3 linked regions of the Callithrix jacchus genome follow. The main gene of each other region encodes a partner of the protein of the gene in region 3 in a complex. Links are inferred from orthologs where the notes say so. Each region holds a gene or a part of one and is shown on either strand. Other genes may lie near its edges.

Region 1 (4,105 bases), on a different chromosome or scaffold from region 3:
TTGACATGTGCTATGTCCTCTCTTACTTTGTCTTGGCTTTAATTACAGTTTTGTCTATTATGTCTAATTACTACTATATTTGGATATAATATTTGGGAGAACACTAGCTCTTATGACTCTGATAAAGAGATTTATGTAAGTTTTGGTAAATTTAGATGTGTGTGACACTGACTATACTTCATTGAGAAGGCTAATTTATTTGGCAGGCTTTAATTTCAGTCCTGGATCATTTTACAGCCATGATCAGAATTGGGTTAAAAATAGGTGTGGATAGTATGCTTATTTCAGTTAGGCCTGCCATATGTACTGTATGCAGCTGTTCTGCATTATTATGTTAATCTTGGAGAAAATATCAATTTAATGTAAAAAGTGATTTCCTTCTAGGATTGGCCATTTGATGATGGAGCTCCACCCCCTAATCAGATAGTAGATGATTGGTTAAACCTGTTAAAAACCAAATTCCGTGAAGAGCCAGGTTGCTGTGTTGCAGTGCATTGTGTTGCGGGATTGGGAAGGTAAACTCTTACCCTTATTACCCTTTTTGTCTGTGAATTTATTAACATGCCTAAGTTAGTTGAAAGTTTCACTTTGGTAGACATTTTCATATATTATACTAAATAACATTAAATTACCTGAAAGGCAAGGAAATGAGAGAAAAACAAGTGTAATGATTTTTGAAAACAGTCTTGTCGTTTCATCTGGTTGTCTGATTCTGATGCCAGCCTGGATTTAGCCTGTGAGTGTTTTATTTGTCTCCCTATTTCAAGTAATCAAAAGTTCAGGTCACTGAAATAGGCAACAAAATTAAAGTAATTTTAGAGTTGGATGAGTCTATACATGGTTAATTTTGGATTGAGATGAATGGGAAGTTAATAGGTAGAGAGCAGATATCTGAACTTTAAACTCTTGAAAGGAGATGTATGGACAAGAATTGACTTTGATCTTAAAACCCTTTTCCCTGAGCATTCCTTGAAATGGTGTTGCAACACTATCATCAACAGCAGATTAAATGCCAATTTAGGATGCACATTTTGATTCAGAATATTGGTGTAGGCTGCCATTGCCTCAAGGTGGTGGTGATTCAGGCTGTTCTATGCTGGCCTTTTGTTTGCTATTTTCCTTTTTTGTAGTGTAATACTGTTTGTTTATAAGGTTAGAAGTTTTAGTCCTTAACCTGAAGGTTGAAGATAATGTTGTAACTTGGCAAATTTATAACTATCCTAGTTTTAGGTAGTCCAAAATTGGGGCCCTGTAATGGGCTTTATAAAAACATATTTCCTCTGTTAAATTTTTTAAAAAAGAGAACTTTTCTTAGTCATTAGTTCTTGAAAAAGTCTAGCAACTTTTTAGCATTTAATAAGGAAATATTAAAACCAGTTGGTAATGAAAATTCTGACACTGGAGATACATAATATGTTTGGCCATTTATTTTACTGTGATAATGGCTAAAGACCAATGAAGAATTTTTGATAATATATAGTGATGAGAAATTTAATATATAATATGATATTTTAAAGAGTAAAGATCTCTTAAGGTTTAGAATTTAGTGCTTTACTAAAAGTAGGTATCAGGCTGGACTCAGTGGCTCACACCTGTAATCCCAGCACTTTGGGAGGTAGAGGTGGGCAGATTACTTGAGCCCAGGATTTCTTTTTTTTCTTTTTTTGAGACGGAGTTTCACTCTTGTTACCCAGGCTGGAGTGCAATGGCGCGATCTCGGCTCACCGCAACCTCCGCCTCCTGGGTTCAGGCAATTCTCCTGAGTAGCTGGGATTACAGGCACGCGCCACCATGCCCAGCTAATTTTTTGTATCTTTAGAAGAGACGGGGTTTCACCATGTTGACCTGGATGGTCTCGATCTCTTGACCTCGTGATCCACCTGCCTCGGCCTCCCAAAGTGCTGGGATTACAGGCTTGAGCTACCGTGCTCAGCCGAGCCCAGGATTTCAAGAGCAGACTTGGTAACGTGGAGAAACCCCATCTCTACTAAAAATAAAAAAAATAGCTGGTCATGGTGGCAGGCCCCTGTAGTACCAGCTCCTTGATAGAGTGAGACCCTGTCTCCTCCACACACACACAAAAATCATAGAATTTATAATGATTAGTTATATTTACTGTATTAGGTAGGTATTGGCTACTTTAGCATAGAAGAAAAAAGAAAGCTTATGGTTTGCTTTGGTAATATGAAGTTATGGATCTTTAAAAATTCTTTCACTCCAAGACTTATGGATATTTACATACAGGTTTCTTTCTGCAGGGCACCTGTGCTGGTTGCACTTGCTTTGATTGAATGTGGAATGAAGTACGAAGATGCAGTTCAGTTTATAAGACAGTGAGTATGAAGTTTTGTGTTCAGAAATACAGAAAGGAAGATCATGAATGAGGAAGGAATTATGGAAGTGGGTATTCATTTGTAGTGTGGGATAATTTACTTTCTTTGGCTTAAAGTGTTATTTGAAGATGTAAAAACTTTAGAGCAAGTGATAGAGACTCAGTACAGCTGGCTTCCAGATTTAAAAGACTTTCTAATTTGGGTGGCAAATTTGGACATTATAGAATATGTCCAGTATATTGTTTGAATATCTAGGAATCTCGAAAATGCCCCTTTTAATAGATTCCAAATACCTTCCAAATGCAGTTCTCTATTAGGAGGAGGCAAGAAGAATGTATAGAGGAGCAGTTAATCACCTGGGTCTCTTAAGTGATCTGTTCAGGCACAAAATCAGGATGGTAGTGCCCAGACAGGATCTTGGCATCTGGAATAATGAGTCTTCCATTTTATTATCCAGAATTATTTGACAATTTTTGTCTTGCCCTTTCCCTTTGAACCTTTCATTTAAAAAATGAAAACCAAAGAAGAGACTATTTGTGACAGAAAGCATGAAATAATATATGGTAGCGGCTTTAGGAAGGTAACACATTTCAAGGAATGTCATCAGTGTATGTCTTGAGCCTGCTTCTTTATCTTATTATTTTTTAGCATCCTAAATATTTGCTACCAACTCTAATCTGAAGAATATATCAATCTAATTGGGAAGAATATAGTCAGATATTTCTGGATAAACTATTCTGATCTTTATTAAATGGTTAATAGGCCATAATGATGGTCAGCAAGGAAAATTTTTCTTTTCCTTCTTCTAGGAGGACTCAAAGTTCATGTTGCAACTTAGCTCTTAAGAAGTGTTGGCCAGGCGCGGTGGCTCATGCCTGTAATCCCAGCACTTTGGGAGGCTGAGGCGGGTGGATCATGAGGTCAAGAGATCGAGACCATCCTGGTCAACATGTGAAACCCCGTCTCTACTAAAAATACAAAAAATTAGCTGGGCATGGTGGCGCATTCCTGTAATCCCAGCTGCTCAGGGGGCTGAGGCAGGAGAATTGCCTGAACCCAGGAGGCAGAGGTTGTAGTGTGCTGAGATCAAGCCATTCATTACACTCCAGCCTGCGTAACAAGAGCGAAACTCCGTCTCAAAAAAAAAAAAGAAGTGTTATAGTGTGAGAAATGTGCTGGTTTTCAGCTGTGTGGAATTAGAAAGGCCTTAGGACATAAATAATGCATTTCAGTGAATCAGACAGCTCTTTTTTTACCTGATAAAGTTTGCTATTCTTGTATTTTCAGAAAAAGAAGGGGAGCATTCAATTCTAAACAGCTGCTTTACTTGGAGAAATACCGACCTAAGATGCGATTACGCTTCAGAGATACCAATGGGCATTGCTGTGTTCAGTAGAAAGAAATATAAAAGAAGGTTGACTTGATTGTGGCATTTGGAGGGAACTCTTGGTACCTGGAAATGTGAATCTGGAATCTTACCTGTGTCATCAAAGTAGTGATGGATTCAGTACTCCTCAACCACTCTCCTAATGATTGGAACAAAAGCAAACAAAAAAGAAATCTCTCTATAAAATGAATAAAATGTTTAAGAAAGAGAAAGAGAAAAGGAATTAATTCAGTGAAGGATGATTTTGCTCCTAGTTTTGGAATTTGAATTTCTGCCAGGATTGAATTATTTTGAAATCTCCTGTCTTTTTAAACTTTTTCAAATAGGTCTCTGAGGAAAACCAGCGGAACATTAGCCTGTGCAGAACCATCTGTTTGGGGAGCAC
Region 2 (4,686 bases), on a different chromosome or scaffold from region 3:
CCTTGCCACACCCCACGCTTCCCCTTCCTGGCTGGGCTTCCTCTTCCTTGCGCTTGCCCTGTGCGGCCCCTTTGTTTCCCGGGCGGGGCGCGGCTATATTTAGGCGGCAGGTGTGGGAGCCCCTGGCAGCCAGGTCGCCCGCCGGTCACGCCCCCCACGTGATGCCTGGGCGCTATAAATAGCTGCAGGCGGCAGCGGCAGCAGTGCCTGGAGTCAGCTCCACTGTGGAGGGGCGGCGCCCTGCCCCCGGCCCAGCGCCACGGGCACCCCTCAGCCAGGCGCACATGGAAACGGCGGGATGCCTGCAGTGTGGGTGAGCCTAGTGGGTGGGGACGCTGCCTTCCGGGCCCCCAGCCCCGCCGGGGAGGAGGTGGTGCCCCCCAGAGGGCTGGGCGGGAGCCCTGCTGGTGCCGAGGGAGGGGGCTGTGCCCCTTACCAGGACGTCATTGGCGCCTAGTCCCTCGGAACTCCGCAGAGCACCCACCTCAGCCCTACCTACGGTCCAGCCTTGCTTCTCCTGGGACCCACTGAGCCGCGGGCCTCCAGCCTCTTCCCCAGTATCCCAGGGGGGCCCTCTCTGAAGGGCGCTGGATTCACACTGGATTCAAACTTCTTAACCGGCTTTGCCATCGGGAAGGAGGGTGGTAGCCTCCCTGAACCTCAGTTTCCTTTTCTGTACGGGGATCCGTGTTGCTCCTGCCTCCTAGCCTGGAGCCAGAGAGAACCCACTTAACTGGACGCTTGGTCTGGCCTGGGCCCAGAGAATTGTCCTCCCCTCTCCCTGGCCTCTCTCCTCATCTGGCAAACAGGGACAGGGATGGACTCTCGCTTAAAGGGTCTTGAGAAGATACTGGTTTGAAAGTAGCTGAAGGCCCTGGGCCTGCGGGTCCGAGGAGACTGAGCCAGATCTTGGGAAGGGGCTGCAGGGCTTGGTGGCAGGAGGGAAGGAGGGGCTGAGGCTGCCTGTGGGCCCTGTGCTGTGGCCTCGGGCTGGGCAGAGACTTATAACATATGGAGGCCGGGGCAGCCTGTCCCCATTTCACTGAGTGCCCATCGCTGGGGATCCTTCATCCTTGTTCTCTGGGCCCTCCCCGGTGCTCAGGGGGCATGTGGTCAGGGAAGGGTGTCCTCTCTGGGGAGTAGCCACTGGGCAGGGCAGAGTCCCGCAGTCATGCTGGGGGCTCCCTGCTTTACTCTCAGCTGGGCAGGGGTGGGGCCCCAGGCTGCGGAGCCAAGTGGGGTGTGTGGCAAGACCCCAGCCCAGTCCAACCTCTCCCTGGAGCCCTGATACCATTCTAGCTGGGAGGATGCATGGCATCCTCTGGCCTCAGGTGGGTGGTCGTGTGGGGTGGTTCAGAGCCATCTCCCTGCCCAGCAACCTGCAGCCCTGAGGACCTGTCTATTGCCACTGGGCAGTGGGGCCACTGGGCGGCGGTGCCAGGCCATGTGCTGTTCCTGTGGGGTCTGCTGGGGTCCCTGGCAGCCTTGGGCATGAGAGCTGGGCCGGCTCCTCAGGGGGCGACCCCAGGAACGTGGTTTCTCGGGCAGTTTTCCTCTTCTCTTTCTGTAAACATGAGCTCGCCCCGGCGCGCACGCACACGGGGACATCCTGCTGCCCCAGGAGGGACCTGGGTGTTTGTGTGCTGCTCGTGCTTGGTGGCTTCCCTCACCTGCACTCAGAGCCTGTGCTGGCTCCAGCTGGGCTGGGTGGGGGCTGGCAGGACCAGGGACGGGATCCTTGTCTCCACCTTTACCTCCTTCTGGGGGTCCCATGCCACTGCCTATTTTAACCTTCCCTGAACCAGGCAACGGAAGAACATGAGATGTGGCGCCTGCTCTGAGCCCGCAGCACTGGCTACCGCGCAGAGTGTGGAGGGCAGGCAAGGCGGAGCCCACCGTCCCCGCCAGCCACCCTCCGAGTCCGGGGGCCCAGGCCTTGTGCCCTCCCTGCACCTGGGCTGAGGCTCCAGTGACCTGGCCTGCCTGGTGGGCAGCCGGGAAGGGGTGCTGGGCAGGGGCACAGGTGAGAGGGGTGGGCTGGGGGATGGAGGGCTCTGCCGGGTGAGGGGCCTGAAGTGCCTTTCCTGAGTGGCAGGCAGTAGTGACAGGGCTGGGCTTGGGTTGAGTCCAGGGGGCTGGAGGGTCTGCTAACAGCTGGGTCACCGCTGGAGGGATCTTTTGTGGCCCATCATTGTGCTAATGGGGTAACAAAGAGGCCAGCGCCTCGCACAAGGTGTCCGAGCTCTTCCGGAGAGAGGGGAGGGGGCTGTGCGCTCCTGGGACTCCCTTGCCTGGGAGCTTTGGGGCCATGAGACCCAGAGACGGGGAGAGGCAGGTGTGGAGTTACTTTGAGCCGCCCCTGGCGCCCCTGCAGCCTCCCTCTTAGGGCTGTTCACCGTGTGAACCCGCTCCTGGCTACCTGTGGTGTCGCCACCCTGGCATGTGTGCCTGACGGCTGGCCTGTTTGGTGTTGTCTGTCCCCGCCTCCCTGAGCTCCTGGCCTGTTTATCCCCTGAGTCTGGCTGAGCCCTGTGTGAGCGGTGGAGACACAGGGGCTGGGGGACACTGGCAGGCAGGGGGCTGCTGACAGGAAGGAGAATTTCTGCAGAAAGCAACGGGCGATTAAGTTGGCCCTTGGCCACCTGTGGGCTCAGGCCCCTCACCTCCTTGTGCTGGCAGCACTGACTGAGTGCCTGGGCCCCATTCCCTGAGGATGGGCCACCCAGAGAGACCTGGGCTCAGATGTTCGCAGTGGCCAAGAATCAGAAGAGGAGAGGGCAGCTGTCCTGGGTGGGTTTTCCGTAGATCAGAGCGGGCTGGCAGGGGCCAGGCTCAGGCTTCTTAGGGGAGCTTGGTCTCTGTCACCCTAGAGGGACCTGTCCTCTGTGTGCTGGGGTTTAGCATGTCCTGGGGGTGTGTGTGTATCTGAAATCCCTGTCCCCTGTGTCCTCCGTTATGCCCTGCTGGCTGTATGGTAGCTGCCCTATTGCCTCCAGGCCTGGGTCAGTCCTGGTAGGAGCCGTTCTTCCTTGTGCTCCCATGTAGGGAAACTGAGGCCTAAGAGGGTCACTCAGCATGGTCAGGAGGAGGCCCCAGGAGAAGTGTCGCCTCTGACTGTGGGCTCAGGGCAGGCTTGAACCCCTCATGGGAGGGTGGGGTGACCCCTTGTGATCCCTTTCTGTTAATTTTCTTCATCTTTTCCCCCAGATGCTGTGTGCTGTGGACCCGCCTGGGATTCATGGAGTGGGCTGCGGGGTCCAGCCCTGAGCACTGCTGCACCCGAGGTCCCAGAGCCTGCTGCTGAGGGTCCCCGTGCTGCTGGCTGTCACCATTGCCCTCGACTGCCGATGGCCTCTGCTGTCCAGCCTGGGGCCAGCTCTACTGCCTGAGCCCCCTGTCCCCCTCCAGGACTCACCATACCCCGATGGGGTAACATGACAGAGGCCCTGCACATCAGAGGCCACTGTCCCCGCGGCCGCTGCCGGTGACCCCTGGCCCAAGGGTGCTGGAGTTGGCTCAGTTCAAGTTCATTCTTACTCTGGCTGTTGTGGGCTTGGGGACCACCTCTGAGTGAAGGAGGCTGTCTGCCCATCCACCGATGTGGAGAGGGCGCCCCCAGCGTGGGGTCCAGCTCTGGACACTGCTTGGCGGCTGGATTTCCTTTGGGTTTTTAAGTTTTCTTTGCTGAGCTTTTCTGGTAGTTCTTTTTATTTTTTGCCCCTTTATGACTATCCCTCTCTGAGAGACAGGAGTTTGGAGTTGCCTACAGTACTTTGGGGGGCTGTTTTGTTCCTTTGCTTTTTTAAGAGTTGGATTTTCTTTTTTAATTATCCAAACTCTGGGCAGCTTCCTCCCCCACGCCCAAGTTATTTGCACAATATTTGTGCGGGGTGTGGGGGTGGGTTTTTAAAAAGATCTCTTTCTCTTGGACAAGCACAGGGATCTCGTTCTCCTCATTTTTGGGGGGTGCGTGGGGACTTCTCAGGTCTGTGTCCCCAGCCTTCCCTGCAGCCCCTCTCTGCCCTGGAGGCGCCATGGCTCGGATGAACCGCCCGGCCCCAGTGGAGGTGAGCTACAAACACATGCGCTTCCTCATCACCCACAACCCCACCAACGCCAGCCTCGGCACCTTCATTGAGGTGAGTGCAGATGGCGGCGGGGTGGGCAGGTCCAGCCAAGGTGGCAGCGAAGCCCAGCTGAGCTGTGCTCAGGCCTCTCAAGAGGGGTCCACTGGCCTGGCTGGCTAGACAGGGCTCACGGCCTTGGAGCAGGGCTCAGTGCCCCGTTACAGGGTCCTGGAGGAGGGACGTGGGGATGCCTTGGGACCTCGGGGGTGAGGGTGTTGGGGGATCAACTGGGTCCCTAGGGGGCCTGCAGGGGGCTGGCGTGTGACAGGAGGGACTCCACGCCACGTGGATAGAGGCAAGTGGTGAAGCCGGGGGTACACGGGCCAGGCTCTGCACGCTCAGCTGTGGCCTGGGCTGGGGCCCTCCTGAGCCCTTTGCTTTCCTTTTGGCATCTGTGCCTAGGCTGAGCGGGCAGGAGGTGCCCTGGTGTGAGAAGTGGCTGCTTATGGGGAAGCAGGTGGATGGGGACAGGTGGGCAGGTCGGCTCCATGGTGGGCCAGGCCTCCAGGCATTGCCCTGCTCTGCATTGCCAGGCTCTGGGTGAGGCCTCAGGCTAGAC
Region 3 (4,686 bases):
GGAGTTTCTGTCCCTTGCACCTGCACATCACCTCACAATTCAGAAAGAACTTTCTATCAGAAAAACATGTTTGTGCTCTCAAGTATGGGTCTGAGCAGCCAGAGCTGCTCTGTGGGAGGCCTCCAGGAAGCAGATCAGAGTGCCAGGGACTTCTCTCGGGCTCTCAATCCTGCCCTGTACAACAGGCAGAACAGCTAGCACCCCTCCAGCCACAGAGGGGTTAGCGGAGTTAGACATGGAAGTTCCTAGTGCAGTGCGTGGCAGATAAGGGCTTGTCTTCCTCATGGTGGGGCAGGTGGGGGTGCGAGGAAGCAAGCCTGCAGCTCCCTCCACAGCCTCTCCAGAAGCCCCACCGGCTCCTCCAGGAATCCCAAGTTCAGGCATATCTCTAACCCCAACCTTAGAAACTCAGTCAGAATAAAAGTATCTTCTTGAAAAACAAGAACAAGAAAGCCTGACCCTTCACCACTCCTACTCACAGCCGTGTACACTTGAGACTCTTTTCACCTCCCTCCTGGCACTGAGGGGTATGGGGTTTGATATCCCACCACCTCTAGTTCCATCTGCAAAATTTCTTCCAATACAATCTTCCCGCTCACAGTGAAGCCCCGGATGGGTCTTGTTTATTTAAACATCAGCATAAACTGACCAAACTCCTCACAAATGCCCTTCTAATGTCTAGGATGATGTCCACCAGCCACCCACCCTCAGAGCTAGGCCCACTGCTGACTCCAATCTTCACTTACCAAGTGACCTAAACTTAAATGGCCAAAAGCGTCTGAACTGAAACTTACTCCCACTTCCCAGCAATTCTCTGGTTAAGTCAATCCATTCTAAGAGGACCTTGAGAGAAAATACTGACTTACTATAGTCTGAACACCAGTTAGTTTATAGCTTGGTGTCATCCAAGCTGTTAAATACAGCAAGAAGTTCAAATTGAGTAATGAAGAATTAAAAAAAAAAATAGCAAGAAGGGGGCCAGGTACAGTGGCTCACGCCTGGAATCCCAGCATTTCGGGAGGCCGAGGCAGGCAGATCACCTGAGGTCTGGAGTTTGAGGCCAGCCCTGGCCAACACAGAGAAATGTCATCTCTACTAAAAATACAAAAAAATTAGCGTGACTCCGTCTCAAAAAAATAATAGTTGGGTATGGTGGCAGGCGCCTGTAATCCTAGCTACTTCAAGAGGCTGAGACAGGAGAAATGCTTAAACAAAGGAGGCAGAGATCGCAGTGAGCCAAGATCACACCAGTGCACTCCAGCCTGGGTAACAGAGCAAGACTCCATCTAAAAAAAAACAAGAAGGGAAAAGGATGGGAAAAAAGATGGAGGGCAGGGTGGGACGGTGAGAGTGCAAGTCTGTGTGTGCAAGTTCACAACCCCTGGGTCTAGACACAGTGCACGGCATACCACTCAGCACTCACCTGCCGCTATGGCTGTCTTCTCACCGAGGAGCCTGGTCTGGCTGCCTGGGATGACCTGCAGGTCAGTGTTCTCGGGGGATTGTGGCAGGTTCTGGGCTCGGGTAGCCAGGAGTGCATTGAGGTACTGCAGCCGCGTAACCTAGAGGATGAAAATATTACTAGCAGACCCAACTGGTGAAGTGAGACACAGAAGGTAGACAGGAGAGTCCACACCATGCCAGAAGAGGACAGAGGAACAACTTTAAGCTAGTTAAGGGGAGAAGAGCAACTGAGTCAAGTGTTTTTAAGACCTTGCATGGAAACTGGGTGCAAAGGTCTGTGTCCCTCAGGATGAGCACAGGACCTTGCTCTGGGCAGTCTCAGACAAGCTGGTAGCCCCCAGTGACACAAAGTCAGCTAAAGTCAGCACCCATGAGCAGCCCAGGCAGTCACCTTGATGAGCTGCAGGTCAGAGAGCGCCCTGACGGTGTAGTCGGGACAATATGTAGATGAACGCATGCCGTCTGGCTCAGGCTGCAGGTCATGGCGGATGGGCTGGAGCGAGGACACCGGGGACTGGTGAACTATCAAAGGAACAATCAGTGATGGCAGAAGCCAGTGCTGGCAGCTGGGAGCCCCCTCCCCTGGGGGGGAACAACTGCACAGTTTTGAAGACCAACCCCACCAATCACCCTGGAGAGGCAATGTGTTAGGAAGCCGAGAGAGGATGATGAACACAGCTGGGAGAGGTTTCGCAGGGGTGGAGTGAGCCACAAAGACGAGTGATGAAGAATGCTGCCCTCCCTCCCGGAAGCCCACCTTATGGGGTGGTGGGCTCAGGTGGAAGGGGAGGCGAGGAGGGGCATTGAGAGCCGAAGTGACAACAAGCAGGGACAGACTCCGCAGCCTCGATCCTAGCCCTCTGCGCCAGCAGGGGCCGAGGCTTACCCGAGGATGGCACGGTCAGGGCCGACACTCCATAGTACGTGAAGGCCCCATTCTCAAACTTCAGGCCCTCTTTCCCGATCTCCACTTCAACCCTGCCCTGGGAGAAAACAGCAGGGAGAGAAACAGATGTGGCCAGATGGCCCTTCCCATCAGAAGACAGCGCAGAGAGAAACCCACAAACTCAACTGTTTCGGGGTAGGGAGGTACCTTCATGCCCCTACTACCCTCTTCTCCCAGACATTTCCCTGGCCTGAGGAAGCAGGAGGCTCCAGGCCTGGTACCCACAGCTACCTGTAGGATAAGAATGAAGTAATCCACCGGTTGGCTACGCTGGTACAGGTAGTGGTGTGTGGCCAAGCGGTTGCTGTCGTCAAACCTCACTTCCTGGTTGACGCTGGGATGCTTCAGCAGGTGCAGCAAGACCTTCTCAGAGATGCGCAGTGGGCTGAATACATCCACTTCTGCCCGTGGTGGAAAAAAGGGATGGTGTCCACCAGTGCCTAGTGGCCCATGGAACCACACCCAACACTTTAGGCAATTTCAAGTTACTGTGCCCACCGGGGCTCTCCTGGATAGCCCATGAGCAGCTGTCCCCCACCCCCAATCTCAACACAAGAGAACTAGACAGGGGCTGGGCATGGTGGCTCATGTCTGTTATCCCAGCGCTTTGGGAGGCCAAGGCAGGCAGATCACCTGGAGTCAGGAGTTCAAGACCAGCCTGGCCAACATGACGAAACCCCATCTCTAGTAAAAATACAAAAATTAGCCAGGCGTGGTGATGCACGCCTGTATTCCCAGCTACTTGGGAGGCTGGGGCAGGACAATCACTTGAACTTGGAAGGTGGAGGTTGCAGTGAACCGGATTACACCACTGCACTCTAGCTTGGGTGACAAAGCAAGAACCTGTCTTTAAAAAAAAAAAAAACAAAAAAAACACTGCACAGGGCACCCCACATCCACCCAGCTGAGAGCTGAGGCCGCCTGGCCGTGGCACACCAGGTGTGGCACTGCCCTGGCCCTGTTCTTGGCGGTCTGGCAGAGAGGAGCTGCCTCTCCCAAGACTCAAGATGCTGGCATGGCTGCAGAGAACACGGAGGTCCTCAAGATGTGCCTGCTTTCGAGGAATGGGGAGTAGAGTTAGTGTCGGCCCCGAGCAGCCTCCTGACCCATAGGACAGTGAGGAGAGCAGGGGGCATGGACCACCATCCCGCCTCACCTCGGGACAGGAAGCGCTGGGTGGCCAAGAGCAGCTGAGGTGAGATTTTTACTTTATATTCATCATCAGACACCTTGAACAAGGAGAACTCCTCCTTCCGCTTGAGAGGGGCCATCAGAGAAGCAGGCTTCCTCCTTACCACGGTGTCTCCTAAGGTGGAAAAAGAGGGCACACTCAGGCATCAGCCACCTGTCAATCACGACCACACCAAGGAGTGGTGTCGTCCTCTTCTTCCTCCTGAGGCCAGCAGGGACATGTCCTCAGCACCATTCCCTCCATGGGGCCTGCTGCCACCCCAACCACATGGACGGCTCCTTGCCTTGGAGCTGGCTGAAGAGAATGCTGATGTAACAGAGCAGCTTTTATAAAATAACAGGACTCCCCGATAGGTCACTGGATGTGGACCAAAATTTTTTTAAATTTAGGCCAAATGTAGTGGTTCACACCTGTAATCCCAGCACTTTAGGAGGCTGAGGTGGGAGGGTCACTTAAGGCCAGAAGTTCAGGATCAGCCTGGGTAACATAGAGAAACCATCTTTACAAAAAATAAAATAATTAGCCAGGTGTGGCGGCATGCGCCTGTATTCCCAGCTACTCTGGAGGCTAAGGTGGGAGGATCCCTTGAGCCTAGGAAGTTGAGGCTGCAGTGAGCCATGACTGCGCCACTGCACTCCAGCCTGCGTGACAGGGCAAGACCGTCTCAAGAAATAAATAAATAAATAAATAAACAGGTGTCCTTGGCCACTGAGCGCTACTTCTCACTAAAAGTGTGTATTCAAGGATTACCAGTACACAAGGGCTGCAATTAACCTGGAGACCCCATGCCTATGGTAGTCTCATGAACAAGACTAAAGATGTTGTGATTGAAAACTGATGCATGAGTAAAGCGATACTTTTGAAAGCGTGTGGGGCAGGCAGCCCAGCCATGAAGCACAGGCTCTGTGCTGCCCTGCAGACCTCAACCACCAGCCTAACAGGCAGACACTTCTACCATGCAATCAAGGGCCCTGGGATCAGCTGCTTTGAGAAGACTTTCTTTATGGTAAAGAATGGGTTCTTTCAGGGGACATTTCTGTAATGTAGAAAAGAACCTGCAAAAACAAAAGCACTTAGGGAGACA

What was found.
Region 1: the proteins of CNNM3 (region 3) and PTP4A2 are in contact, whole or in part, in a crystal structure (PDB 5K25), measured with the Homo sapiens proteins. The link is inferred for Callithrix jacchus from reciprocal best matches to the Homo sapiens genes CNNM3 and PTP4A2. Residues at the interface, in NP_060093.3 of Homo sapiens: Leu390, His391, Phe392, Val393, Phe394, Asp396, Thr397, Glu405, Ala414, Gln417, Val419, Glu424, Gly425, Asp426, Pro427, Phe428, Tyr429; in NP_001356788.1 of Homo sapiens: Met1, Asn2, Arg3, Pro4, Asp69, Gly70, Cys101, Ala103, Leu105, Gly106, Arg107, Arg134, Arg135, Gly136, Ala137, Phe138, Asn139, Lys141, Gln142.
Region 2: the proteins of CNNM3 (region 3) and PTP4A3 are in contact, whole or in part, in a crystal structure (PDB 5TSR), measured with the Homo sapiens proteins. The link is inferred for Callithrix jacchus from reciprocal best matches to the Homo sapiens genes CNNM3 and PTP4A3. Residues at the interface, in NP_060093.3 of Homo sapiens: Ser357, Asn358, Phe394, Asp396, Lys418, Val419, Asn421, Glu424, Gly425, Asp426, Pro427, Phe428, Tyr429; in NP_001425170.1 of Homo sapiens: Asn5, Pro7, Asp72, Gly73, Ala74, Val105, Ala106, Leu108, Gly109, Arg110, Arg137, Arg138, Gly139, Ala140, Ile141, Asn142, Lys144, Gln145.

The regions. Positions count from the first base shown.
Region 1 is NC_133508.1:68,516,998-68,521,102, reverse strand, and holds part of PTP4A2 (protein tyrosine phosphatase type IVA 2), read left to right. Parts: intron 1-384; coding exon 385-515; intron 516-2,258; coding exon 2,259-2,333; intron 2,334-3,620; coding exon 3,621-3,729; 3' UTR 3,730-4,105.
Region 2 is NC_133517.1:56,096,259-56,100,944, reverse strand, and holds part of PTP4A3 (protein tyrosine phosphatase type IVA 3), read left to right. Parts: intron 1-202; exon of another isoform or gene 203-313; intron 314-1,805; exon of another isoform or gene 1,806-2,023; intron 2,024-3,207; 5' UTR 3,208-4,034; coding exon 4,035-4,139; intron 4,140-4,686. UniProt on the Homo sapiens protein: Protein tyrosine phosphatase which stimulates progression from G1 into S phase during mitosis. Enhances cell proliferation, cell motility and invasive activity, and promotes cancer metastasis.
Region 3 is NC_133515.1:6,766,713-6,771,398, reverse strand, and holds part of CNNM3 (metal transporter CNNM3), read right to left. Parts: intron 3,717-4,686; coding exon 3,567-3,716; intron 2,812-3,566; coding exon 2,642-2,811; intron 2,448-2,641; coding exon 2,351-2,447; intron 1,987-2,350; coding exon 1,856-1,986; intron 1,563-1,855; coding exon 1,424-1,562; intron 1,287-1,423; coding exon of another isoform or gene 1,243-1,286; exon of another isoform or gene 1,105-1,242; intron 1-1,104. UniProt on the Homo sapiens protein: Probable metal transporter.